Oryctolagus cuniculus: one gene and its partners. Each later gene encodes a partner of the first gene's protein in a complex. Links are inferred from orthologs where the notes say so. Each region holds a gene or a part of one and is shown in the gene's direction. Other genes may lie near its edges.

What was found.
Region 2: the proteins of POLR2L (region 1) and POLR1B are in contact, whole or in part, in a cryo-EM structure (PDB 7OBA), measured with the Homo sapiens proteins. The link is inferred for Oryctolagus cuniculus from reciprocal best matches to the Homo sapiens genes POLR2L and POLR1B. Residues at the interface, in NP_066951.1 of Homo sapiens: Met1, Ile2, Pro4, Arg6, Cys7, Phe8, Thr9, Cys10, Gly11, Trp18, Tyr21, Leu22, Leu25, Gln26, Glu31, Gly32, Arg42, Tyr43, Cys44, Arg46, Arg47, Met48, Leu50, Ala51, His52, Val53, Asp54, Leu55, Glu57, Lys58; in NP_061887.2 of Homo sapiens: Leu16, Leu19, Thr20, Asp21, Pro22, Tyr24, Gly25, Pro27, Ile157, His160, Glu161, Glu162, Ala163, Phe698, Leu701, Thr702, Arg713, Gln715, Thr716, Pro717, Gln718, Ser719, Leu721, Asp733, Asn734, Pro736, Asn740, Ala741, Ile742, Asn760.
Region 3: POLR2L (region 1) and TAF1C share a complex: the UniProt entries of both Homo sapiens proteins name them as parts of the pol I pre-initiation complex. The link is inferred for Oryctolagus cuniculus from reciprocal best matches to the Homo sapiens genes POLR2L and TAF1C.
Region 4: POLR2L (region 1) and TAF1A share a complex: the UniProt entries of both Homo sapiens proteins name them as parts of the pol I pre-initiation complex. The link is inferred for Oryctolagus cuniculus from reciprocal best matches to the Homo sapiens genes POLR2L and TAF1A.
Region 5: POLR2L (region 1) and RRN3 share a complex: the UniProt entries of both Homo sapiens proteins name them as parts of the pol I pre-initiation complex. The link is inferred for Oryctolagus cuniculus from reciprocal best matches to the Homo sapiens genes POLR2L and RRN3.
Region 6: POLR2L (region 1) and GTF2H5 share a complex: the UniProt entries of both Homo sapiens proteins name them as parts of the TBP-based Pol II pre-initiation complex. The link is inferred for Oryctolagus cuniculus from reciprocal best matches to the Homo sapiens genes POLR2L and GTF2H5.
Region 7: POLR2L (region 1) and GTF2A1 share a complex: the UniProt entries of both Homo sapiens proteins name them as parts of the TBP-based Pol II pre-initiation complex. The link is inferred for Oryctolagus cuniculus from reciprocal best matches to the Homo sapiens genes POLR2L and GTF2A1.

The regions. Positions count from the first base shown.
Region 1 is NC_091432.1:353,577-356,234, reverse strand, and holds POLR2L (DNA-directed RNA polymerases I, II, and III subunit RPABC5), read left to right. Parts: upstream 1-1,155; 5' UTR 1,156-1,225; coding exon 1,226-1,320; intron 1,321-1,922; coding exon 1,923-2,031; 3' UTR 2,032-2,158; downstream 2,159-2,658. UniProt on the Homo sapiens protein: DNA-dependent RNA polymerase catalyzes the transcription of DNA into RNA using the four ribonucleoside triphosphates as substrates.
Region 2 is NC_091433.1:113,624,438-113,627,937, forward strand, and holds part of POLR1B (DNA-directed RNA polymerase I subunit RPA2), read left to right. Parts: intron 1-511; coding exon 512-793; intron 794-2,983; coding exon 2,984-3,117; intron 3,118-3,500. UniProt on the Homo sapiens protein: Catalytic core component of RNA polymerase I (Pol I), a DNA-dependent RNA polymerase which synthesizes ribosomal RNA precursors using the four ribonucleoside triphosphates as substrates.
Region 3 is NC_091449.1:65,916,349-65,919,848, reverse strand, and holds part of TAF1C (TATA box-binding protein-associated factor RNA polymerase I subunit C), read left to right. Parts: coding exon 1-95; intron 96-171; coding exon 172-261; intron 262-353; coding exon 354-427; intron 428-931; coding exon 932-1,170; intron 1,171-1,291; coding exon 1,292-1,613; intron 1,614-1,694; coding exon 1,695-1,766; intron 1,767-1,856; coding exon 1,857-1,992; intron 1,993-2,081; coding exon 2,082-2,225; intron 2,226-2,634; coding exon 2,635-2,809; intron 2,810-2,886; coding exon 2,887-3,024; intron 3,025-3,104; coding exon 3,105-3,500. UniProt on the Homo sapiens protein: Component of the transcription factor SL1/TIF-IB complex, which is involved in the assembly of the PIC (pre-initiation complex) during RNA polymerase I-dependent transcription.
Region 4 is NC_091444.1:36,964,311-36,967,810, reverse strand, and holds part of TAF1A (TATA box-binding protein-associated factor RNA polymerase I subunit A), read left to right. Parts: intron 1-2,711; coding exon 2,712-2,881; exon of another isoform or gene 2,882-2,986; intron 2,987-3,500. UniProt on the Homo sapiens protein: Component of the transcription factor SL1/TIF-IB complex, which is involved in the assembly of the PIC (pre-initiation complex) during RNA polymerase I-dependent transcription.
Region 5 is NC_091450.1:18,617,051-18,620,550, forward strand, and holds part of RRN3 (RNA polymerase I-specific transcription initiation factor RRN3), read left to right. Parts: intron 1-2,450; coding exon 2,451-2,603; intron 2,604-3,500. UniProt on the Homo sapiens protein: Required for efficient transcription initiation by RNA polymerase I (Pol I). Required for the formation of the competent pre-initiation complex (PIC).
Region 6 is NC_091436.1:9,585,004-9,589,101, reverse strand, and holds the start of GTF2H5 (general transcription factor IIH subunit 5), read left to right. Parts: upstream 1-1,298; 5' UTR 1,299-1,441; intron 1,442-2,075; 5' UTR 2,076-2,113; coding exon 2,114-2,148; intron 2,149-4,098. UniProt on the Homo sapiens protein: Component of the general transcription and DNA repair factor IIH (TFIIH) core complex, which is involved in general and transcription-coupled nucleotide excision repair (NER) of damaged DNA and, when complexed to CAK, in RNA transcription by RNA polymerase II.
Region 7 is NC_091451.1:27,055,452-27,059,488, reverse strand, and holds the start of GTF2A1 (transcription initiation factor IIA subunit 1), read left to right. Parts: upstream 1-1,237; 5' UTR 1,238-1,691; coding exon 1,692-1,721; intron 1,722-2,340; exon of another isoform or gene 2,341-2,477; intron 2,478-2,664; exon of another isoform or gene 2,665-2,770; intron 2,771-4,037. UniProt on the Homo sapiens protein: TFIIA is a component of the transcription machinery of RNA polymerase II and plays an important role in transcriptional activation. TFIIA in a complex with TBP mediates transcriptional activity.

The DNA.
Region 1 (2,658 bases):
GAGCAGGGGCGGGGCAGGCCCCTGACCCCTCCCCCAGGAAGGCCCCACTCACGCGCTGGGCGCCCACCGGGCTGGCCTCCCGGACCCGGGCTCCCTCTCCTCCACAGCCGCGGCCGCCGAGCCTGGGTCTGACCCCAGGCCACGGTGACTCACGGCCCCATCCTGCCCCTCTGGCCAGGGCAGGATGTGCGTCCACTCAGCCTGGGGGAGGGAGGCAGAGAAGGGAAGTGGCCAGGGCTCGTGGCTCCGCACGTGGCCGAGAGGGCACTAACCCTGGCAGGGCAGTGGCTCTGGGCAGCCCCACTCCGGACCTGAGACCCTTCGTCCCCGTCCCTGTCCAGCGTCTGCCCTGAGCGGGCACTCAGCAGATGCCGGGGTCCCGCGTGAGGACCCCGCCCCGGCCACACATCCAAGGCCAGCAAACCTGGCCAGAGCCCCGCGGGGGCCACGGGCAACACCCCCACAGCCCTGCGGCTCCCCAGCCCGCCTGGGGCAGCCGGGGCACCAGGCTCAGCCCGGTCCACCCGGGAGGCAGCAGCCCCGCCCGTGGAGCCCCTGAAGGGGACGCACAGCTGGGGCTGCCCCTACGCGGGGGCCCTGGCCTTCGAGGGTCAGCTCAAAGGGGCTGACCACACGCCCAGCGCCAGGCCCGGGAAAGAGCGAACAAGACGCCGACAGACTGCCGTCGGGGCTCCCAGCAACTCCCCGCGGGGACCCGAGCCTCGCGCAGGGCTCAAGGGACAGCGACCGGGTCCAGGCCGGGCCGGGCCGGGAGGCGGGAAGGTCCGTCCGAGGCCTCCCGCCCCGGGGCCAGACCCTCTCGCCGGGCCCCTCGCCCGGCCCCACTTGTTGCTGCGACCGGCCTGGGGCTCCGCACTGGAGGTGGCGCTCGCGCGCCGCGGCTGATGTCCGCGTCCGGGTCCAGCCGGCGCCCGCGTAGTACCTGGGCCGCCGCCTCCCGCCGCCGCACCGCGTCGTCCGCTCCCGCCGCGCAGCTGTCAGTCAAGCGGACACGAGAAACGCGAACCGGCGCCGCCGAGCCCTTTTGGCCGAGCCCAGTCGCCGTAGCGCGGCACGTACCAAACCGCCGGACGGGGGGCGCCGCCGGACGCGGCCTCCAATCGGCGCCGAGGAACCCCGCGCCAGTGGGCGCGCCCGGGGCGGGGCCTGCAGCGCCGCGGACGGGCCCGGCAGTGCGCGGGGCTGCCGCGGAGTGCGCGCCGCCATGATCATCCCGGTGCGCTGTTTCACGTGCGGCAAGATCGTCGGCAACAAGTGGGAGGCCTACCTGGGGCTGCTGCAGGCGGAGTACACCGAGGGGTGAGGCGCCGGGCGCGTGGGGCCCGGGGGCGGGGCGGGGCGGGGACCGGGCCCACCCGCGCCTCCTGTCCCGCGCCGCGGGCTGACGCGGGGCTGCGGCGGGGCGGAGGGGCAGGGGCTGCTTTGCCGAGGCCCCTCGGTCGCGCCTTCTCACTCCCAAGCCGCCTCCTCCGCCCCCCGGAGCCAGCGCTGCAGGAGTTTTCTGGAAGCGTCTCGTTGGTTTCCGGAAGTAGAAGGGTGGCTCCCTGAGAGTGGGGGTCCCGCGGGGCTGCGGTCGTGGTCGGGAGTCCCGGCCCCCGGGGGAGGGGGCGCCGGGGCTGCCCTGGCCACCGTGAGCCCAGCCTGGGAGAGGGCGGGCCGGGGCTGGGCCGGGAGGCTGGAGCCTCTGGGTGGGGAAGGGGTGGCCCTGGGTGGCTCCTCCCCGGTGCATCCTGGGGGGACCTGTCCACCTGGCCTGGAGCAGGGGCGAGCCCGGCTGTCTGGTCGCAGGGATGCTCCGGCCGCTGGGCCCGGGCTGGGCCGGGAGGCCGGAGCCCCCGGGTGGGAAGGGGCGCGCTGGGGGCGAGCCCGGCGCAGGCCGCCTCACTGCTGTCTGGTCGCAGGGACGCCCTGGACGCCCTGGGGCTGAAGCGCTACTGCTGCCGCCGAATGCTGCTGGCCCACGTGGACCTCATCGAGAAACTGCTCAACTACGCGCCCCTGGAGAAGTAGCGCCGCCCCGCCATGGCCCGCGGCGTCCTGCCCTGCGTCCTCGCGGCCGGGCTGTCAGACGCCGGGAGCAGAGGCGGGCCGCGCGCACGCATGTCGCCAGCCGCCCAGTAAAGTCCTTGCACAAACACCACTGGTCCCCTCCTTGGCCTCGCTCCGCCCCCCCCCCCCCAGTCCACCTGGCCCAGCTGTCTCGGGGTCCTGGTTCCTGCTCCCTGGTCCCCGCCCACCCAGCGTGGCTGCTCGTCCGAGCCTGCACTGCCTGCTGCGGTCAGCGGCTGCCCTTGCCTGGGTCCCCACCCTGTGGCCCTGTCGGGGTCGCACCAGCCCTGAGCGCCCTCAGGCTCCCGGGGGCCCTTCCCGGGCTGTCCCTGCGGGCCCAGGCTGAGGGCCAGGGAGCAGCTACTCCCAGCAACCCACACGGGGCCGAGCCCGCGGTCAGCTGGGGACGGGGACCAGGGCAGAGCAGGGCCATGGTGGCCGAGCCACTGCTGTCCCCAGGGTGTTGGCCGCATCGCAGAGCTGTCCCCGGCTCCTGGCAGGACCTGCAGGCCCCTCGTCTGCTCACTGCCTGTGCCACAGTGACCACAGTGGGCCCAGGGCCAGCTGGAGACGCCAGCACCCCTACGC
Region 2 (3,500 bases), on another chromosome or scaffold:
TTTAGGCCAGTTCTTAGCACCAAATGCCTTTCTTGTGCCTCCTGGAAAACTACTTAGGTCTCTTGAGGGAGGGCTGCCTGGTAGGAGGCCTGGGCTGATAGATGGCAAGTCCCTCAGCTGTTTGCATTCGAGTGACCTGAACTTTGAAAAGTCACGCCTGGGGACAGAAATCTTTATTTTGGTAACAGATGCTGCTAATGCAGATTCTGTGGTTAGCGGGCTAACTCAAGGGTGTGAATCCGCTGGCCTGCCTCCCACATCAATCTAATGACTTAATGTTCTCCCACAAAGGGGCTGGTGCTGGAGGAGACGGGGAGCCAATGGGTGTGATTGTGAAACCTGGTGGGGGGGGTTGTTTTCACTGTTTTTGTTAAGCTCCACTTACCACTGCTAACAGTATGTGTTGGAGTAACCCACTCTGATCTATAGAGTGCTCTGAAGATTTGTCTTCTCAAAGATTGAACAAATAGACTTTGCTTGACCCTTTTCAAGTGACTTCTGTTTTGTTAAGGTCTGGGCTTCCTGCAAGATTCTGGACTTTGTGTTGTGGCTGACAAGCTGAACTTCATACGCTACCTCTCCCATTTCCGCTGTGTGCACAGAGGGGCTGACTTTGCCAAGATGAGGACCACCACCGTCCGCAGGCTGCTCCCGGAATCCTGGGGCTTCCTGTGCCCTGTGCACACCCCAGACGGGGAGCCCTGTGGTCTGATGAACCACTTAACTGCCATCTGCGAGGTCGTTACGCAGTTTGTGTATACGACATCCATCCCACCTTTGTTGTGCAGCCTGGGTATGTGACCAACAGCAGTGAACGGTCTGGTTTGGGTGGATGGCTTCTAACAGGTACAGACTGTTGGGTTAATGCCCCTTTGGGGATTCTGTAGTGACTTCTCACAGAAGTTCCTTTTCACTCTTCTATGCAATAGTTGGGCTACTTTTTTGGCTTGCCTTTGGAAGATCAAATTCATTCTTTGAAAAAGGAAACAGGAGAACTTCAATGTGGGTAGGTGATTTGTTCTTTCTGAAACGAACAGTATCAAGACATTTGAACAAGACCAGCAGTTAATATTGGAAGTATAGAAGCTATTGTGTAACTTTAGTTCTCCAAACTTCTGTGGGAGGACCCCTGCCGTGTTGGTGCAGGAAGATGTTTAAAAAAAAAGGTTGTCCAGTATACTTAATGCTGCCAAGTATATAACCGTTGCTCCTGGCTACCTTGCAGCTGCTGCCTCTGCTGTGGCTTCTCTCACACTGTTCTCCTGTGTCTGATGCTTGGTTTGAGCTTACCTTCATACTTAGAATAAACAGCTTTTTCTTTGAACAGTTGCCAGTCCTGGGGTCCTCCAGTTGTGATTTGGAGACCTAGTTTGGTGGTCTGTGGGTAGGTTCTCCAGTGGGATTAAGGCTTACACATTTTTGGGTCAACTGGCATAGTTTTATGTGGTTCTGGTGAACGCCTCCACTTCCCAGGGGTCAGATGATCATAGAGTTTCTCTAGCAACCAGAGAATGTGGAGTCAGGGGTCCAGAAATGTCAGCTTACAAGTGCTTCTCCCAGTTAGAGGGGGGCCAGAGAGAAGGAGGCCCCAGAGAAAGGCATGAAGAAATACACAAGATTGAGAATGTAAGCAGTATAATTTGTACATTCACCATCTACAAGGAAAAGGATGGCTTTGTTTGCTACTGGGGATTTAAATGCCAAAGCCTGGGAGATGGGAGAAAGGCGAAAAGAAAGAAGTGGGCAGATGGGAAACGTGTCCCCTGCTGAAGAGGAGATGGGAAGGGTGGTTTGCTCCGGGCCTGGGGAAGGAAGCGACAGAGATGGTCGGGCACTGTAAACGCTTCGGGTCCTCAGGAGCTCTTAGGGGCTCCTGGGTGAGTGCCCTTTCGCCTGATGACAGGTGGTTCTTGGTGGTGGTGCTGGGTCTGTAAAGCCCCTGCCACCCTGAGTTAGTGAGTGCTGCAGTTCCAGGGGTGCTCCTGCAAGCCCCAGGTCACAGCCGCTTTGGTCAGCTGGTGTAGTTTTATGTGTTTCTAGTGAAAGCACCTTATTCAGCTTGTGCTGTTGATTCCTGGATGTTGCGGGGCACCGTGACTGTAAGTGTACCTGGATAGCGTGCAGCACAGCCTCACACCCTGAGGAGTGCCCGACAGCACTGCAGTGCTGTGCTTGAGGTCCGCGTTAAGTAGCAGAGTCGCCAACAGAAAGCAGAGAGGCCGCAAGCACTGAGCGGCCTGCACTTGTTCCACCTGTTTCCAGTGTCAGAGCTGAGGCAAAGCCGCGCGTCCCCTTGATCCATCTCAGCTGGGAATACGCACGCCCGAGTTGCGGCTGCATGTCCTAAGATGGCCTTGAAACTGCCCTTAATCTTGCTTTTGTGGTTACAAATAAAAAGTAGCAAGCAGGTAAATTATAAGTATGGAATCTGCAAATAATTATATATTTTTGAAAACAGTTATGTGTACGTGGCTCAGACGTCATACTTTAAAGAGTGTACGGGTATAGGGAGAGGCTACCTTTCCTCCCTCTCCTGCAGCTCCTCTCCCCCAAGGCTAGTTGATATGTAAACTGTTGAAGCTGTTGATGAACCCTCCGGAGGGCATTTGAGATGTTGGCTACAGGGGCCGGTGTGCTGTGGCTCACTTGGTTAATCCTCCGCCTGCGGCACCAGCATCCCATATGGGCGCCGGATTCTGTCCCGGTTGCTCCTCTTCCAGGCCAGCTCTCTGCTGTGGCCCGGGAAGGCAGTGGAGGATGGCCCAAGTGCTTGGGCCCTGCACCCCATGGGAGACCCGGAGGAAGCGCCTGGTTCCTGGCTTCGGATCGGCGCAGCGCCGGCCGTGGCAGCCATTTGGGGAGTGAACCAACAGGAGGAAGACCTTTCTCTCTCTCTCTCTCTCCAACTCTACCTGTCAAATAAATAAAAAGAAATGTTGGCTACAGCATTCTGACGTGATCATCCCGTCTGTTCCTTCGCCAGGGGTCACACCCATCGATGGGGCTCCACACCGACCGTACAGCGAGTGCTACCCTGTCCTGCTGGATGGCGTCATGGTAGGCTGGGTGGATAAGGAGCTTGCTCCCGGCATCGCAGATTCTCTCCGTCTTTTTAAGGTGATCTTCAGTCTGTGAGTTGTCGCGTCTCTGGACGTTCGGTTTTGGGTCCTTTGCCATGGATGAGATGGCCCTAGGGCAGTCTCAGGTGGTCAGCGGCCAGTGGTTTGAAGCTCATTGAAGAGCTGCCAGTACTTTCCTCCCGTGGGCAAAGGCTTGCCCACTGCTGACCTCCTTGGCAGGGTCTGTGACACGTTTGGCCCATCTGCAGTTTTTGGTCGTTTCATTGAGATCCCAATGTAATAAATTTTAACTTTTTCCTTCTTGTTAATATTAATAGCATATAAGGGATTTCAAAATATGAACATTTCAATAACAGTAAAGATACATGAGAAATATAAGAAATACAAACATCTGCCTGCTTTTAAAGGGTGAACAGAGTA
Region 3 (3,500 bases), on another chromosome or scaffold:
CCTGGGACCCCGGCGTGACTGCCCAGGACCTGCTCTTCCGTGGAGGCTACCAGTACCGCCGGCGGCCCCGGGTCGTGCTGGACGTCACCGAGCAGGTGAGTGCCCCGTGGTGCACGGCGCCGTGTGGCCGGGAGGCGGTGCTTAGTGACCCGGCCGCCTCTCCTCCCCCAGCTCAGCCGGTTCCTGTGGGACCATGGCGACATAGCCTTTGCACCCCTGGGGAAGCTGATGCTGGAGAACTTCGAGCTGGACGGAGAGCAGGTGAGGAGCTGCGGCCGGCCGGGACCGGGGCCCGCCCGGCTCACTGAGGGTCCCGGGCGTGCGGCCCTGACGAGCCTTTCCGTGCCGTGCAGAACCACTCCACGAAGAACGCAGTGGTGCTCGTGAAGAGGCTGCTCGAGGACCTCGGAGGATACCAGCCCTGGGGGCAAGTGGCCAGTGAGGGCCCGGGGGGGACGGCCCCGCGGCGGGGCGGGGGGGGCGGGAGCTGGGCCGTGGGTGCAGGTCTGTGGCAGTGCCGCCCCCGCCCCGTGAACCAGGCTTCCTGCAAAGCTCCCACGCCCGGCCGGCCTGCGGGAAAGACGTCGGAGGGGCCAGCTGGGCGCCGGCGTTCAGCGCTTGGTCAGAGTCCGCTCTGCTGTCTGTCCGCTTCCTGCTGGCCAGCTGAACTCTCAGACGGCTTCCCAGAGGCCGCGAGATGGGGCAGGGTTCGGGGAAAGAGTCGGGGAGCTCCCTGAGGCCACAGAAGTCCTAGAAAGGACTTAGGTGGGCTTGGCTCGGCTCTGTCGTCTGGGAGCCAGGCCGAGCGGCAGGCCCAGGTCATGGGACCCAGGGCATGAGAATATGGGGGGGGGGTCCCCGGAAATGCCAGTCGGTGAGAGCGCGCCCAGCCCAGCCTGGCCCGTCTCCAGCTCTTGCCCTGCGTCCCCAGGTGCCCCTGGGCGTCCCTCAGCCACCGGCAGCGCCGCTTCTCCTTCCTCGGGGGCTCCGTCCTGGGCAGGTCGGTGGCCAGCGTCCTGGGGGAGCTGCTGCGCGAGGAGCTGGCCCTGCGGTGGGAGCAGCTGGTCCTGGACGACACCTTCACGGGGGGCGCCCTGGCCTGGGTGCCCGGAAGGTCGCCCCGAGCCGGGCAGCTGGTCTACCCTGCCGGGGGCGCCCTGGACAGCCTGCGTATCCTTTCTGCCCTGGCAGTGGGGTGTGTGTGTGCGCGCGTGCGTGTACGTGAGAGTGGCGTCGGGGCTGGGTTAGGGCCTGACCGGAGCGTGTGCACTGGCCCTTAGCAAGTGCCCAGATTTCCAAGAGATCAGCCTGACCTCACGTGGCCGGCCTCGCGTCCTCGGAGCCCCTGGACGCATCCAGCTCCGGGGGCCTGTCCGGCAGGTGGTGACCTGCACCGTCCAGGGAGAACGTAAGGCCCTTAAGTGCCTCTGTGCCTCGCTCACTCGCCCGCTGCCTGACCCCTGGCCCCTGACCTCTGGCCTTTCCTCCCCCTCAGCCCTGCTGGCTGTGCGCTCTGACTACCACTGCGCGATGTGGAAGATGGGGAAGCAGGGGCCGCCCGCCCCCCTGCAGGTGCTGCAGGTCCGGGAGGGTGCCACGGGGATCAGTCTCAGGTGAGGGCCGAGTGCGGCTGGGCAGGGCCGGGCCGGCGGAAGGGGCAGGCGGCCTGACGTGCGTCTCGTGGTGTCCCCTAGCCCGCACCTGCCAGGGGAGATGGCAGTCAGCAGCCGATCTGGAGCCGTCTGTCTGTGGACCCCCCAGGATGGGTAACGCCCCCTCCCCTGAAGCCCTCCACGCCCTGGGCAGCAGGTCCTCGTCGTGGTGACCCCCACCCACCACGTGCCCGTCTCCCGAAGGCTGCAGCAGGTCTATAAGGACCCTGAGACCCTCGTGTTCCGCGACCCTTCTCCCTGGCGCTGGGTGGACTTCACTGCGCACCCTCGGGTGCTGACTGTGGGTGACCGCACTGGAGTGAAGCTGGTGGACACCCAGGTATGGGGCCCGTGCCAGCGACCCCTGGCTGCAGGAGGGCAGTGGTGCCAGTGGGTGCAGGGGCGAGGCTGACCCCATGTCTCTCCCAGGGCCCACCCGGCTGTGGCCTGCTGCTGTTCCGTGGGGGCGCAGAGGCCTCCTGCCAGAAGGGGGAACGTGTCCTGCTCGCCCAGTACCTGGGGCAGCCCAGCCCCGACACTCTGCCCCCTACGCTGCACCTCATCTGTACCCAGGTGAGTGCCCCCCAGCCCCACTCCACCCCCTGCTCCGTCTCAGTCGCCCGGGCCTGAGCACAGATGCACAGAACGCTGAGGGATGGGTGTGGCCTAAACACAGCCCGTGCTTGCAGACCGAGGGAGGGCAGCCGAGGGCCCCAGGCGGCAGTGGAGAGGCGTGGGGGGGCAGCCGAGCGCCCTGTGCTCTGCCCTCTGCCCTGCCTTCTCCCCGCCTGTCACCACAGCGAAGCCCGGATCAGGGCCCAGAGTGGGTGGGGACGCCCATGGGAAAGGCAGGTGGGTTTCTGTGTGCTGAGACCCCCATAGCTCCTCCCGGGCCCCCTCTCCCCAGCTGCCTGGGCTGTGGACCAGGCTGGGCATCCCCACCTCAGCCACACCCCTCCGCCCGCCTCTTTCTCGCCCCCAGTTCTCGCTGTACCTGGTGGACGAGCGCTTCCCCCTGGTGCCCATGCTGAAGTGGGACCACGGCTTCCCCTCCCCGCCCCTGCTCGCCCGGCTGCTGCCCCCGCCCCGGCCCGGCCACCCACAGCCCCTGCTGCTGGGAGCCCACGGTGGGCAGCTGCAGCTGCTGCAGGTCACAGGTGCGGGCCCACGAGGGCAGGGGTGGGGGCGGCAGGGCCGGCCCTGAGCAGGCCTCAGCTGTCTGTCTGTCTTCTAGGAAACCTGACCGCTGCCCCCAGGCTGGCAGGGCCCCCCCAGTCACTTCCTTCCAGGACCGACTCTCTCTCTGCATTTCCCCTGCTGGAGCCCAAGAGCCACTGGCAGCTGCAGGAGCGCCTGGGCGCGCCAAGCATAGGTGAGCTGGGGGGGAGCTGGGGGGAGCCGGGCTGGGGGCGCGTGGGCCAGGCCTCCAGGTCATCGTCCTTCCACCTCCAGGTCTGGCAGCTGCCTTTGTCCCCGCCGCCCCGACGCCGGCGCTGTCCGTCTTCCAGCTCTCCGCAGCGGGAGACATCTTCTATCAGTACCTCCACCTGCGGGCGGACTCCAGCCTCTGCCAGGACGAGCCCAGGCCCGGCCGCCAGACCTGCGAGGCAGCAGCACCTGCCCCGGACAAGCCGGCCACACCCCCCACTTCCTGGACCCCACAGGCCACCGCCTGCTGCAGCCGATGGCTGGATGCCCTGCTGGAAGTGCCCCCGACTCCGCCCGTCTGGGCTGCGCCCACCTTTTCCCACCGCCGACTGCTCCCACGACTGCTCCTGCAGCTCGAGCCCCAGCAGGTTGGGGGGAAGGTTCCGGAAGCTCTCCGGGCAGCCATGGCTGAGGGCCGGC
Region 4 (3,500 bases), on another chromosome or scaffold:
TTGAAAAAGAATAGTTCTGTTCCTCTGTTAATTTTTTTTTTGCTGTGTTAACACATCTGTTAGGTTTGAATGGTTGGTACTTCAGCAGGAATGCTCCCACATTGCTTGTAGGAAACGAGTAATTTGAACTTGTGCTAGTTAAGACATCTCTGGGCATGTTTTTGTCACTATTATTGTAGATCCCGAATCTGCAGACAAATAGAGTATACATGCATAAGATGTTTCATGTGCTATGTATGGATAGGCTATTAAATCCAAAGTACTTTCTTTTTTATTTTTTGACAGGCAGAGTGGACAGTGAGAGAGACAGAGAGAAAGGTCTTCCTTTGCCGCTGGTTCACCCTCCAATGGCTGCCACGGCTGGCGCGCTGCGGCCGGCGCACCGCGCTGATCCAAAGGCAGGAGCCAGGTGCTTCTCCTGGTCTCCCATGGGGTGCAGGGCCCAAGCACTTGGGCCATCCTCCACTGCACTCCCGGGCCACAGCAGAGAGCTGGCCTGGAAGAGGGGCAACCGGGACAGAATCCGGGGCCCCGACCGGGACTAGAACCCGGTGTGCCAGCGCCGCAAGGCGGAGGATTAGCCTAGTGAGCCACGGTGCCGGCCAAAGTACTTTCCGTCTTCTATGAGAAAATGTCTTTTTAAAGATTTATTTTATTTATTTGAAAGACAGAGTTACAGAGAGAGTTAGAGACAGATAGAGAGGTCTTCCATCCACTGGTTCACTCCCCAATTCACCGCAACGGCTGGAGCTTCTCCCGGGTCTCCCACATGGGTGCAGGAGCCCAAGGACATGGCCATCCTCTACTACTTTCCCAGGCCATAGCAGAGAGTTGGATTGGAAGAGGAGCAGTTGGGTCTCAAACTGGTGCCCATATAGGATGCCGGTGCTTCAGGCCAGGGCTTTAACTCGCTGCACCACAGCACCAGCCCCAAGAAAATATTTTGCACGTAATAGTGATCTTGTAGTAGAAATTAGCCATAATAGGAAAATAAAATTGCCAAACACTTATTTTTTATCCTGGGAGATTCTTTTGGCATTTTAAAGGATGTGCTCCTTAGAATAAAAAGTTTGAAGATAGGCAAATCTAGGTTAGAACTGTATACAGGGGCCAGCGCCATCTTTCACTGCTTTCCCAGGCCATAGCAGAGAGCTAGATTGGAAAAGGAGCAGCTGGGACATGAACTGGTGCCCATATGGGATGTTGGCCCTGCAGGTGGAGGCTTAGCTCACTACACCACAGTGCCAGCCCAGCCTAACTATTCTTTTTTTTTTTTTTTTTAAAGATTTATTTATTTATTTGAAAGAGTTACACAGAGAGAGGAGAGGCAGAGAGAGAGAGAGAGAGAGAGGTCTTCCATCCGATAGTTCACTCCCAATTGGCTGATCCGAAGCCAGGATCCAGGAGCTTCTTCCAGGTCTCCCACATAGGTGCATGGGTGTGGGGGCCCAAGGACTTGAGCCATCCTCTACTGCTTTCCCAGGCCATAGCAGAGAGCTGGATTGGAAGTGGAGCAGCTGGGACTGGAACCGGCGCCCATATGGGATGCTGGCGCTTTAGGCCAGGGTGTTAACCCGCTGTGCCACAGTGCTGGCCCCAAGCCTAACTATTCTTAAGATGGGATTACTAATGCTTTAGAGATAGAAAAATCTGTCTTCAACTGTTACAACTGAAAATGTGGCCCTTTTTTTTAAGATTATTTGTTTGAAAGAATTAGGAGAGAGGGCGAGGCAGAGAGAGGGAAAAAGAAAGAAAAATATCTTCCATCTGTTGGTTCACTCCGCAAATGGCTGCAATGACCAGGGCTGGACCAGGGTGAAGGCAGGAGCTAGGAAATTCATCTGGGTCTCCCATGTGGGTACAGGGACCCAAGCACTTGGGCCATCTGCTGCTGCTTTCCCCATGCACATTAGCAGGCAGCTGGAATTGGAAGTGGTGCAACTGGGACCAAAAGCTGGTCCTGGGAACTTGGTTCTTAAAAAACAAAATACCCTTTGGGATTTTTGGGACATTGGTAGTCTTTCTTAAAATGACCTGCTTGCTCTGAGTACCCGTGCTGTGTTTTTGAGGGCCTCTTTGTTAGACTTTCCACAGTTACTCAGTGCAAGGACAAAAAGATGATTGAATCAGGGCTGGCGCCGCAGCTCACTAGGCTAATCTTCTGCCTGCGGTGCCAGCACCCTGGGTTCTAGTCCCGGTTAGGGCGCCGGATACTAGTCCCGGTTGTTCCTCTTCCAGTCCAGCTCTCTGCTGTGGCCCGGGAAGGCAGTGGAGGATGGCCCAAGTGCTTGGGCCCTGCACCCGCATGGGAGACCGGGAAGAAGCACCTGGCTCCTGACTTTGGATCAGCACAGCCCACCAGCCATAGCAGCCATTTGGGGAGTGAACCAACGGAAAGGAAGACCTTTCTCTGTGTCTCTCTTTGTCACTGTCTAACTCTGCCTTTCAAAAAAAAAAAAAAAGATTGAATCTGATCGAAGGATTGGTGACTGGTGGCCCAAGAATGTCTAATTAGATTTTTTTAAATTTGATAAAACTAGTTGATATGGTACGGAAAGATTTGTTTCAGGTGAAGCTAGTTTTAGTACTGGGAATGGGCTGGGTCAGGTAATTCCTACTGTTAATACTTGTTTGCACTTCTGCTTATCAGAAGCAAGTTTTTTGGATAGTTGAAGTCCTTGTGAGTAAAAGCTCCTCTTGCTTCTTTGTAGTGATCGGAGGGAAAAAGAAGAAGGATTTTGCTCAGACAACAAGTGCTTGTTTACGTTTTATCCAAGAAGCTCTGCTGAAGCACCAGTGGCAGGAAGCTGCAGAATATATGCACAGCTATTTTCAGACCTTGGAGGATTCAGATACCTACAAAAAGCAGGCTGCGCCGGAGGTAAACAGAAGTCAAGTCTGATAGAAGAAAGGACAGATTCTGGAGTTCCTGCTTGCAGCTTCACTCAGTAGCTTGTGTAGGACAAGTGGACAAAAGTTACTACAAGTAATTCTGAGTGCAAAGTTTGTGTCTAGTACTTGTTAGCATTTTAGTATCTATTAGTCTATTTTAAAGGAGACTAAAAATTGTTTGAACTCTTAATTCTGAGATTCCCCAATATTAATTAATTAATTCATTCATTCATTCCAATAATACCTCCTCCTTTCCCTGTCTCATTATTTTCCCTGTAGGATGTTTCTCATCATCATATAAAAAACATTGTTATTTCTATCTGAAAATAATCACTTGACACCACTTTCTTTACAGACTGCTTGTTCTTAGTTTTCTATTCTCTGTTTCAGCAAAACTCCTTGAAAGACTTCTCTCTCTGCAGCTAGAGTAGTCCTTTTTTGGGGGACTCCAGTTTTATCAAGACCTAATTGGCCCATACAATTCATTCATTTCAGTTGCACAATTTTTTTTTTGACAGGCAGAGTTAGAGAGAGAGACAGAGAGAAAGGTCTTCCTTCTGTTGGTTCACCCCCAAATGGTCACTATGGCCAGCGTGCTGCACCGATCC
Region 5 (3,500 bases), on another chromosome or scaffold:
AACACTGCAGAGCTGAGGTCTGAGAGCATAGTGGCGGCTGTGCACGCTTCGCTTGGTTCTGCTTCGAGGAGAGAGACCTGGAGAGCCTGGCCGTTTAATGAGGCTGTTCAGGTGGGGTCCTCACTGATGAAGACAGTTAAGGCTATGGTTGTCTTCCTGCCTCAGTCCCCTTTAGGCAGCTTGCTGCTGTCATCCAGGAACCCTCATGTTCTTTCAGTAGGCATTTAGTTCAAGGTGTCCTGTCTCTCGGGGATCTCAGAAATGGTAAGGAAGGATTCCAGAAAGGAATAGAGAAGCCGACGTGTAGCCACGCTTAGTGGGGAAAAGGTTTCTATACTGCTGAAGAGGGGGAGCAGCCGGCAGAGTGAGGATAGATGAGGCGGTGACCCCAGAATAATTTAGGGGTTAGGGCGGAGGACTGCACTCTGGATTTGAGGTTGGCACGTGCAGCAGACAGAAGCGTAGGAGATGAGGCTGAGAGTAGGAGACAAACAAAGGTCTGTGCCCAGTGGTCCAGGGACCATTATGTTGCTGCTGTTTTTCTTCATGGTTTTGGGATGCAGCCATAAGACGTGTCTTCACAAAGTTTACTGAAGGTGTGGGTATTACAAAAAAACTATGCATGGATTTCAGTTCTTTTCAAACCCAAATAAATTTGTCTTTTAATACCATTTTTCCTATGAGGTTTTTGAAATCCCCTTGTATTGACAACTATAGCTTGTTTTGATTTTAACTGCTGTGGTATAGCCTATTAATATTTTTAGAATTAAAAAAGTCTTTGTCGGAATTTGATTTGTATTTGGTTTTTTGCTTCAGTACTGGGTACAACAGCATAAGATTATTCTTGTGTGTGTGCCCTCGTGTACAGGCACATGTTTCTTGTCACACAGGTTGTAGGAGATGTAGATCTCATACGGTTATGTTGGTTTTTATTATGTTCTTCTGTTTCACATCTCTAGCCTCACCGTGCCTATTCCTTTTCCTACCCATTACTTGGTCAACCCCTTGCCCCGCTTTCAGTAAAGTCCCAATTTTCTATTCAGAAGCAGCTAAGTCTCCTTCAGCAGCCCCTGTTCCCCCTCACTGACTCTGGAATCCGTGGTGTTTGTTCTTAATGTTTATTATTTAAAGAAAATCTTTTTAACCTTTTACCAACTTGAAAGGCAGAACAGTACAGAGACAGAAAGATTTTCTGTCCTGGGCAAGCACTGTGGCTTAGTGGACTAAGCTTCTGCCTGTGGCACCGGCATCCCATAAGAATGCCAGTTCCTGGCTTCTCCACTTCCTAACCAGCTCCCTGCTGATGGCCTGGGAAAGCAGTGGAGGATGGCCTAAGTGCTTGGGCCTCTGCACCCACTGGGGAGACCTGGATGAAGCTCCTGGCTCCTGTCTTCAGATCAGGCCAGCTCCTGCCGTTGAGGCCATTTGGGAAGTGAACCAGCAGATGGAGGACCTCTCTCTTTGTTTCTCTCTCTCTCTGTAACTCTGCCTCTCAAGTAAACAAATAAATTTTTTTAAAAGATTTATTTACTTATTTATTTGAAAGGCAAAGTTAGAGGCAGAGGCAGAGAGAGAGAAGTGTTCCATCTGCTGGTTCACTCCCCAAGTGGCTGTAACAGCTGGAGCTGCACCAATCTGAAGCCAGGAGCCAGGAGCTTCCTCTAGGTGTCCACGTGGGCCCATGCACTTGGGCCATCTTCTGCTGTTTCCCCTGGCGATAGCAGAGAGCTGGATCAGAAGTGGAGCAGCTGGGCCTTGAACCAGAGCACATATGGGATGCCAGCACTGCAGGCTGCGGCTTTACCTGCTCTGCCACAGTGCTGTCCCCTAAATAAATAAATTAAAAACAACAAAAATAGATTTTCTGTCCACCAATTCACTTCCTGAATGCCTGTAACAGCCAGAGCCAGGCCAGGCCAGGCCAAAATCAGGAGCTTGTAACTCCATCCAGACACAGCCATCATCTGCTGCCTTGCAGGAAGCTGTATCAGAAGTGAAGTTGCCAGGACTCAGACCAGCCTCCAGTGTATGATGCAGGCATGCCAAATGATGGCTTAACCTGCTGTGCCACGATGTCCGTCCCAAGAATCCCTTTTCCACTAACCCCGGTTCTTTTGCAAACAGCAGAAGTAAAGATAGCTATATAATTATGCGTGTTAAAAGAGTTTTACCTGGCAGACATACTGATATTTTTTTTTTTGGTAATGCCTATTGATCTAAGTCCAATTTCATATTTTAAGTGAAAGCCACATTTTCTTTTTCCTTAAAAGGCTTGTTAGTCCTAGGCTCAAAGTACCCTGAAAGCATTACTTCCTGCTTTGTGTTGTTTTTTTCATGCACTTGTTCTGTCAACATCTGTGTGCTCCGTGCAGTTGTGACATGTAAGTCACATCCATGCAGTGATTCCAGCATGGTAATGCCTCCATCTGTGTTGATTTTGGTGTCCACAGCAAATACCAGCTCGTCTTCTGCTACACTATCATTGAGAGGAACAACCGCCAGATGCTACCAGTTATTAGAAATACAGCTGGCGGGGACTCGGTGCAGACCTGCACCAACCCACTTGACACCTTCTTCCCCTTTGATCCTTGTGTGCTGAAGAGGTGAGTACCTTAAACAGTCAGTGCTGCCAGTGGTGAGTTTGAATGTGATGTGTGTTTGCTCTTCCCAAGGTTGGCTTTACAGTTTCTTTGCTGAAGCGACCCTTCCTAGCTCGTTATTAGAGTCACATGCTCTCTTGGCATGGATTTCCCAGGCCACATTAGAGATCACTTGCAGGGTCTGCTGCGTGTCACAGGCATACCAGGGTCTGTAGATCTTTTCTTTAGTAGGAACACAGATGGACACAAAATGGTTTTCTGTTCTTTAGGGGAAAAAAAAGTTGATTGAAATGTATGAGGGGCGGCAGTAAAGGCACCAGGATAGGGAAGTGCTATGTGCTCTTGGTTTATAATTTTCTGCCGACCTGTTCCTTCCTCCCGAGACCACGTCCCATTCTGTTGCATGGGGTAAACAAAGGCAGGTGGTTTATCTAGGGGGTTATTCTGGAACCCTCCAAACGAGTCTTAACTCTGTATTTAAATAGGGAAGCAAGATTTTTGCTTGTTACACGGTTTTTAACTAGCAGCGGGCCCTTCTGGAAGTGTGTGGTCTCCCAGGCCTTGATGGACTGGAAACAGAGTAGTTGTTGTTCCTAGATGTGTTTTTCAATATGAAAGAAAAAAAGATATTCTAGAATATTGTGATTTAGTTTTCATTTGGTTTTACTGTGATTCAGCTGGCAGTTACTGTGAATCAAGAATTTCACCTGTAAATGTAAAGAGGAGAAACAGTAGGTATGACTGTCCATCTAAGTGCATATGTGAACCTCTTAACACAGCATATTAGCCAACTGGTATTTTTGGACATTATTATTATAACTGTGATTTTTACTCTTGTTTTTTAGAAAGTAACTCTTATGGAAAAGAGCTAAATACACTTTTATTTGTGTTGAATTATTT
Region 6 (4,098 bases), on another chromosome or scaffold:
TTTATATAAATTTTGAAGTCTGGCATGTCGGGTTTCATGAGAACCCAATACAGTGATTTTAACTGGCATTGCACTGAATTTACAGCCCTGGGGAAAGCCGATTTCTATTTGGTATCGAGCCTTCTGATCATGAATATGATGTATCTCTCCGTCACTCAAGTCTTCCATGTGTTTCAATAAAGCATTATCATTTTCTCCCTAAAGGAACTAATGCTTTAGTTTCACTAACTTCCAGATAATGTTTAGTCTTGGAAGTTACGGATTATTTTACTATTATTAAAATTGCTAGTATTTTGCTGGTATCAGTTTTTTTTTTTTTTTTTTTTTTTTTTTTTTAATTCAGAAACCTACCTAAAGGCCATTTCTGACACTCTCCATGCAATCCCTACCGCGTCACCACCTGGCATTTTGTCCTTAACATTTTTGCGGCCCTCTGTACCTTCACCAATAGACCGCAAACGTCTAGAACACGGTTTGGCACCTATCAGGTGCACAACAGTGCTCGCTGATCCAGCGGATGCAGATTTTAAAACTGGGTGACTTGGAGAGACACGGGAAGGAAAAGCAGGTTTTTAACGGGAGGGGGCGGGCGGAGGATGAGCAGCTCCGTCTGAGCGGTGGAGTGCACGTTACAAACGGGTCCCCCGGCGCGGGCATCGGGCCAGCACCCCGAATCCCCGGCACACCGCCCACGCGGAGCGCAAGGCAGAGAGAGCCAAGGGCACTCGCCAGGAACGAGCGCCCCGGGACGCAAGGCACGTGAAGACTCGGGGATCGCAGCTGGACCACAAGAGCCCACGCGGGGAACGGGCAAAAATCCGCACGAACTTCACCCGGCAGGTGCAACTCAACGCAAGGCGCCCGCACCTCCTCAGAGCGCGCGCGCTCCCGGGCCGGGTCGGCACCGGCGGGATCTCCGCGGGCTCCCCCTCCGCCGTGACCGAGGCTCCACGCCCGGCTGCACGCGGGCAGCCCCGCGCGGCGCCCCCCGAGCTGGGCAGCCGACGCCAGAGGACACTCCGGCCCCCGAGGACCGGAGAGAGCCCCTCACGCCGCGCGACCTCGCTGGGGCGCCCCGTCACCGTGCTCCCACGCGCCGCCGCCCGCGTCCGCCCTCACGAGCCCGGCCCCCCAGTCCTCCTACCTGCCGGCTCGCGGACACGGCCCGCCCCCCGACCGCTCACCGGGAATCCCGGCGCCGGAGAGCCCACCCTCCCGGCGCGGCCTGCCCCCGGCCCTCCACTCGGCGGCGGCCGGCCTGTGGCCCCGCCCACGCGGCCCAGCGCGCGCCCCGCCTCCCAGCGGCGCGCTCCTCCCACAGAGCGTCCCCGGCGCGATGACGTCACAGGGCAGACGCGCGCGCGCGCTGCGGGGCATCTGGGGGCCGCCGGGTCTGTGGGCTGCGGTGCGTGGCGAGCTCGGGGCAAGCCGGCGGGGTGAGGTGCGTGGGAGACCGGGCGTTCCCGGAAAGAGAGGGAGGAGAAAGATCGGAAAGTCTGTCCTGCAGGTGCTGGGGCGCCAGAGTGCGCCCCGCTCTGACGCGGCGCTGGGTGTCCGTGCCCTGGGCCCCGGGGTAGCGGTTGGAGGGGTCAGGGGGCGCCCGCCGCGCCTGGAGCTCGGAGCGCGGAGCCTGGGGGACGCGGTTTACCCGGGGAGGGAGCCCGCAGTGTGGCTGTGTCCCCCCACCCCCGACCTCCCGGTCCGGTCCGGTCCGGGAAGAACGGCGGCTTAGGGTCCTCGCCCTGTCTCAGGTCCGAAATGAAGAGGCTGGGCGCCCTGTAGGTCTTGCGGCCCCCTCTCCCCCGCCCTCCGGGACCTTAGCCTTGTCAAGCCCCCGGGTGGGGAGCCGGAGTACCGGGGCGCGGCGCGGCTGTGGGGTTCGGCCGCAGGTGTATGTGTGCGTGGTGGACAGCTCCGGACAGACTCCGTTTTGTGAGAAGCTCAGAATGGCTGCATGTCTCCTTTGTGTTAGCTTCGTCTCTGATAGACTTCGCTGTTTATACTGACGGGGAGTGGCTTGCCTTGTTCCGGTCGATGCTGTTGAATGACATGTCCACCTTGTCCTTTTTTATTAGCTTGGTTGAGATCCTCTGCCCCTTCCGGCTGGACAAAGATGGTCAACGTCTTGAAAGGAGTGCTCATAGAATGGTTAGTAGTTTTGATACCTCATTTACGTATTGACTCAAACTCATCTGACCTTTTCTGAGGTCAAGTCCCTTTTTCGTTTTCTTTTCTAAGGCCGGAATGCAATCAAGTCTTTCCATTTTCTACACTTTCAAAAAGTGAAACGTTTTGTCGCTAAATTTCTTCCAGAGTGTGGGGGGGAGGGGACAGAATTCAGTGTCTCCGTTGCATTAGTGTAATTGGCATCATTTCCAGCGATTTTTGATCAGAATTGATCGGCCTAGTCCTGGAGGGAAAGGTTACTCGTAATCTCTTCCAGCCATCAGAAGGTGACAGAGTTACAAGGCCTGTAAGATGGCAGGAGCTCCGTTGCCTTCATTACAAACTGACCTTTAAGGAGAAAGACAGGGCCCGTTAGGGTTTCTTGAACTCCTTTGCACACATGCCAGAGAAACCGGAGACCATCCCGGCCAAGGTTGAATTTGGCAAAGCAGTGTAATCTAGAGGGCTCGGCGATTGCCCAGTCTCCAAAATCTGCACTCCAGAATCAGTCTTGCTCCTTGTCCACTTGCTGGCTCACCCACCAGTAGTTCTGTCCCATGAAGGAACTCTGGCCTGCGCACCTCTGTGTGCCCCTGAGATGGCCATCGCACAGATGCTGCTATGTATCCCGTGACGGTGAGCCAGCCTGGGGAAGGGGCGAGGACAACAGCCGTCAGATTCGAGCGGCACCCTCCAATAGGAACAGAATGCAAGCCACATATGTAATCTTGAATTTTTTAGTAGCCACTTCTGAAAGTAAAATTAAATGGGTAAAATGAACATTTTATTTAACCCCAACATATTGAAAATATTCTTTCAGCTTGTACTGAGTTTTCAAAATAACAACAACAACAACAAAACGAATGCATTTGAAAGGCAGAGTTACAGAGAGGCAGAAAGAGAGAGATCTTCCATCCACTGGTTCTCTCCCAAAATGACCGTATTGGCCTGAGCTGAGCCGACCTGAAGCCAGGAGCTTCTTCCAGGTCTTCCACCTGGGTGCAGGGGCCCAAGGACTTGGACCATCTTCCACTGCTTCCCCAGGCCATAGCAGAGAGCTGGATCGGAAGTGGAGCTGTCAGGATTCAAACTGGCACCCACAAGGGATGCCAGCACTGCAGGTGTGGCTTTACCCACTACACCACAGCACCAGCCCCAAAAAACAGTCTTTAAAGTCCGGTGTGTATTGTGCTTTTCCAACATATCTCACAGACCGGCCCTATTTCAGTTGCTCTAGTGAGTGTGACTTGTGGGCTGCCTTATGGTTAGTACAGATCTGGAGTTTCGGCATAGGTGACCCGGCAAAGAGTGCAGAAGCTAAGGGAGAAAATGTTGCACGGAGGTGAATGGGCTGTAAGCAGGAGTGGTGAAAGGTGGATGATGTGAAGACAGACTAGATGAGATGCAGTCGATCTTTGGTAAGAGCTGTTTCGGTGGCGTGGTGGGAAAGGTGCCAGATTGGAGTGTGTTTGTCCCCCGCTCCTCCCTGGAGAATACTCTTCCAGCCCCTCCGCGGATGCCTTCCACCGCAGGTGATACCCAACCGTAAATGTAATGCCTTCCCGTTCTTACCTAAGCACTTAGGATGCACTGTGGTGATAACTTGCAGTTTGAGATGGGAGAGTAAAAGTAACAGGAACTTCTTCTACCAACACGATTTCATGAGTGGAGGATTGACTCTCATCATAGGTCGAAGCAACACCACACTGTTTTTTTCCCTGTGCTTATTAAGTGGAGAATTTTCACCACTTCACTTGAAGAAAGCATTTTACAGCTTCTCTCTGCTTTACCCGATTTGCACACTCCCTGCTCTTGCATTTGGGACAATTACTGAGTAAAACCAGGGCGCCTCAGCACAGCAGTGCTCTGACAGCCGAGGTCGCTGAGAAGACTGAGGGGCGGGTAGCACATCCAGCAGGACCGAGCACGGCC
Region 7 (4,037 bases), on another chromosome or scaffold:
TCTATTAACGGCCTCTTGCTTTTCTAATCCTTTCCCGGAGCCTGGCAAGGTGCATCTTCCCCCCCCTGGTAGCATGCCTTTGATAAGTCTTCAAACCTGGTTTCACCCACACAACTCTTCTGATATTCTGTTTTGCTTTGCCTTTTGAAGATAAACCCCCTCACTCAAAATTCCCGGGCTAGAGAAAATGAGGTACTGAGGGTTCTGCCTTCGGGACAGCGCACTCTGTTCCGCGTGAGATGTTGACATCAAAGCTGGCTTTGCTTGGGTGAAGCAGGTCAAACGCCTATCGAATGCCCTCCACGACACGGACACATGCTCCCAGCTCTCTCGCAGGGAGAGGCCGTGTTAACTGGTGGGTCAAAGGCTCGTACTTCACGTGTGATTAGTCACTCCAGGCTAGCCACGTGGAGTCATGGCATGTTGGCAACATTTTTAAAACGCCAGGCAAAGTCATCGCTCTTCCATAGTCCAGCGGCTGGAGTTTCGCGCTTTGTCATTTCCATCAGGCTGCGAAGTCATTAAAACCACGCGGGCTAGCGGGGGCCGAAAGTTTGGGGACACTTCGCCCCCAAATCCTTGATACCCAGACTCAGCGTGGGGACAAACAGCTGCGCCGGCTTCGGAGGTTGCTAATTCTGGACCGTGCAGACCGAGGACCCAAATAGACTCCCACCCGCTTTTGAAACAGACTCAGCCCTGCGAGAAGAGGCCCACTCAGACGCGCGCAGCCCCGGGGCCACAAGATGACTCCGCACTTCACACCCTGTCCCGAGCCAGGCGCGCCAGGGGCCCGGAAGCCGCTCCACGTGACCCGCGCTCCTCCTCGGCCGCGCCGAGCGCGGCGGCGGCCACCGCCCCTTTCCCATACCCCAGCTCCCGCAGCGCCGCTCGGCGCGCAGACGTCTGACAGGAGGCGTTCCCAGCTAGCTGAGCCCTCGGGTGTCACTAGAACTCGCGCACCTTTCCCAGCAATGCCTTGCAAGCTCCCGGTCGCAGAGGGCTGCAGGAGACTTCCGCCTGGTTGCCAACCACGTGATCACGCGAGACTTGGGGAGCCGGCGGGCCAACTCCACTACTCCAGTCCCCGGGCTCCGCCCGCCCAGCGCCCTCCTTCGCGCGTAGCGACGCGGCGCGAGGCGGCCTCCGCCCCGGCGCGCCTGCGCACGCGGCTTCTCGCGGTGTCTCGCGCTCCGCCCCGCCCACCTCTGCCCCCGCCCTTTCCGCCCCTCCCTCCCCCTCCGCCCTGTCTCTCGGCGGCGGCGGCGGCGGCTCGCGCAGCTTGTTGGCTCGCTATATAAAGGGGAGAAGCGAGCGGACCGGACGGCTGGAGCTGCAGCCGGTGGCGGCAGCGGCGGCGCGGGGAGCGGTGACCGGTGGTTTCCCTCCTTGGCACGGGGTGGGGAGTGGGCAACGCCCCCCGGACCCCCGAAGGGTCTTGGCGTGTTTTTTTTTTTTAAGGCATTTCTCGAGGTTTTTAGCTTCGGGAGGAGAGAGTGTCCCCTTCCTTCTCCTCTCACCGCTTCCCCCTCTCCCTCAGAATCGATTTTGTTTCCATTTTTTGCCCCAATCTGTGGTGACTTGGGTCGCCCTCCGGGTGGTTTTTCTTTTCTTTTTTTTTTTTCTTTTTGGTTTTGTTTTGACCGTGTTTTCCCGGGGTTACCCCCGTGTTGTTTGTGTTGTGTGTGGAAATGGCGAACTCGGCAAATACAAACACCGTGGTAAGGACGTGGTTCGGTGGCCGGAGGGGGCTTCGTTCAGGCGGCAGCAACGGCCGGACCGGGCGGGGGCGGGGACGGCGGCGATCCCGGCCTCGGCGCTGGAGCCGCCCGCGCGGTCGCCGCCGCCGCCGCTTCCCGCCTCGGGCGGCCCGGGCCGGGGCGGCGGGCGCGGGGGGGGCGCCGAGGGCTCGCGGCGGCGGCGGCGGCGGCGGGGCGGGCGGGGGCGCCGGCGGGGCCTGGGGAGGTCCGGGCCGCGGAGGCCGTTGGGCCCGGGCTGGCGCGCGGCCCCGGCCCCCGGCCCCGGCCTGCGGGCGGGCGGGCGGGCGGCGAGCCGCCGCTTCCCGCGAAGGGGGCCCGTCGGCGCCGGCTCGACCAGGCTCCCCAAGCGGCCTCGGAATCAGATCCGCGGCTGGGGAATTGGGCCAGCTCCCGGGACCCGCCGGGATCCACTTGAACGCAGTGGAAGGCTTAGGGTTACTTGGAGGATTACTTTGGGTTTTTTTGTTTTTTGTTTTTTTCCTGGCGGTTGTGCTTTGGGGACCTTCAATGGGGCCATTTTATGTTAAAAAAAAAAAAAAAAAAACAGACGAAGGTTGAAAAGCACTTATCTCAGTTCCTTCCGAATGGGTAAAATGGCGAAGGGGAAGCAAAACCCCCGTCGTATCTTCAACTAGCAAAAGCACCAGAACAAACCCCAAAAAGCCTCCAGTGGTCAAAGTGCCCCGCTTGCGCCTTGAAATTTGCCTACTTCTTCCCGTGAGTCCCTTTTTGGTTCCTTGCGATCACGTAGGTTTGCAAAAAGCAGTCACATAAATAACCTTTTCAGTCACCAACGCAGTGTGATCACTAGCCCACCCAACTCTTCTTTTTACTACGACAATAAAACACGTTTTTGCCCGGTCCCGAATGCCGCGGACAAACCCGCGGCCGCCCGACACCGTACCGTTGGCGACTCGGGTCGATCCATCATGGCTGCGGCCGCTTACCCTGCTTTTCAGTCCCTGAGCCTTGTGGTCCTCCTCCCTTTGGCTGCCCTGTTTATATAGAGCCATTGCCGCTCTCTAATATAGACTCTGCCAGGATGGGAAGGTGCTTTTCAGGCCTACGTCACCGCCTCTCCATTTAAACACCAGATCCGGCTTTAAATAGTGAGAGCTGCTGAGCGGGGCTGGGAGGTGCGTGCTCCCGAGGCGAGAGGCAGGCGCGTGCGGAGCTCAATTTATTTCTAGGTCCTTTTCTGAGGCTGTAATTTCCCAGCGGACGAGGGCTGCTTTCAGAGCCCCAGTTTTTTGTTTGGATGCGGTAGCTAGGATTTGCTTCCTTTGTTTGGGGAAATGCGCTCTCTTATTGGAGTCCTTTTTTTATGTTAACATTTTTGATATTTTAAAACACGGATGGTTTAGTCGATTTTTGTGTATTGAAAGGTGTGCGTGTTATTGTAGGGAATTTTTTAAATGATTTTGTTGTTGGACTAGAACTTGGTTATGATAGCATGTTGTTCATCAGGTATTCAGGAAATGTTAGCAGTGTTTCATGTTTTACTCTAATGAGGATATGACGCTTCTCAAAGAAACAGCTAAGTTCCTAAAGCCTCAGTTTATCCACATACATTACTGTGTAGGACAATTGTGAGTTACAAGAATGAGGAGACCTACTGCAAACTGGCTTTTAAAATATTAAAGTTCTAAGTAGGTGTTGGTTTATTGCCCTGGATATTAATTTGGTATCCAATATAAAAATGATTCCAATTAATATGCCAGGATTGCAGCAGTACTGATACTTTTGAAAGAAACCTTCGAGTTGATCACTTGACTGGGCCACTAATGACCTTCTAATTTGCCACATTTTGAGCCTGGAATTGTCTTTAAAAATCAGGACAAATATAAATTACTTTTCATTTAGCAAAAAACTTCGCTCAAGTAAAGGATAATTTTTTAAAAATTTGAAAATCACTGATTTCAAATTCCCAAGAACCTTTAATGACATCAGTATTTTGAGGGCTTTTCAAATTGTAAGCAATTTTCCTCTTTAAGCATAGACCTCATAAGGAATACATATTCCCTTCATGCCTCCACTATAGTGATTATGAATACATTAGGTGGCCAAGTGTTGGTTCATTTAAGGCAGAAAAAGAACATCTCAAAGGCATGTTTGATTTGTTCAACAGGGAGGAGTACCAGAAGAAAACAGATTTTTTCCTGTAGACATTTGGGTCTCCAAGAGTTTTAGGGTAACTGACTTTAGAAACATCCGGTTTGCTGAAAAAATAATGTGTATCATCAAATTGAGATTTAAACCACCTACTTAAAATTATGT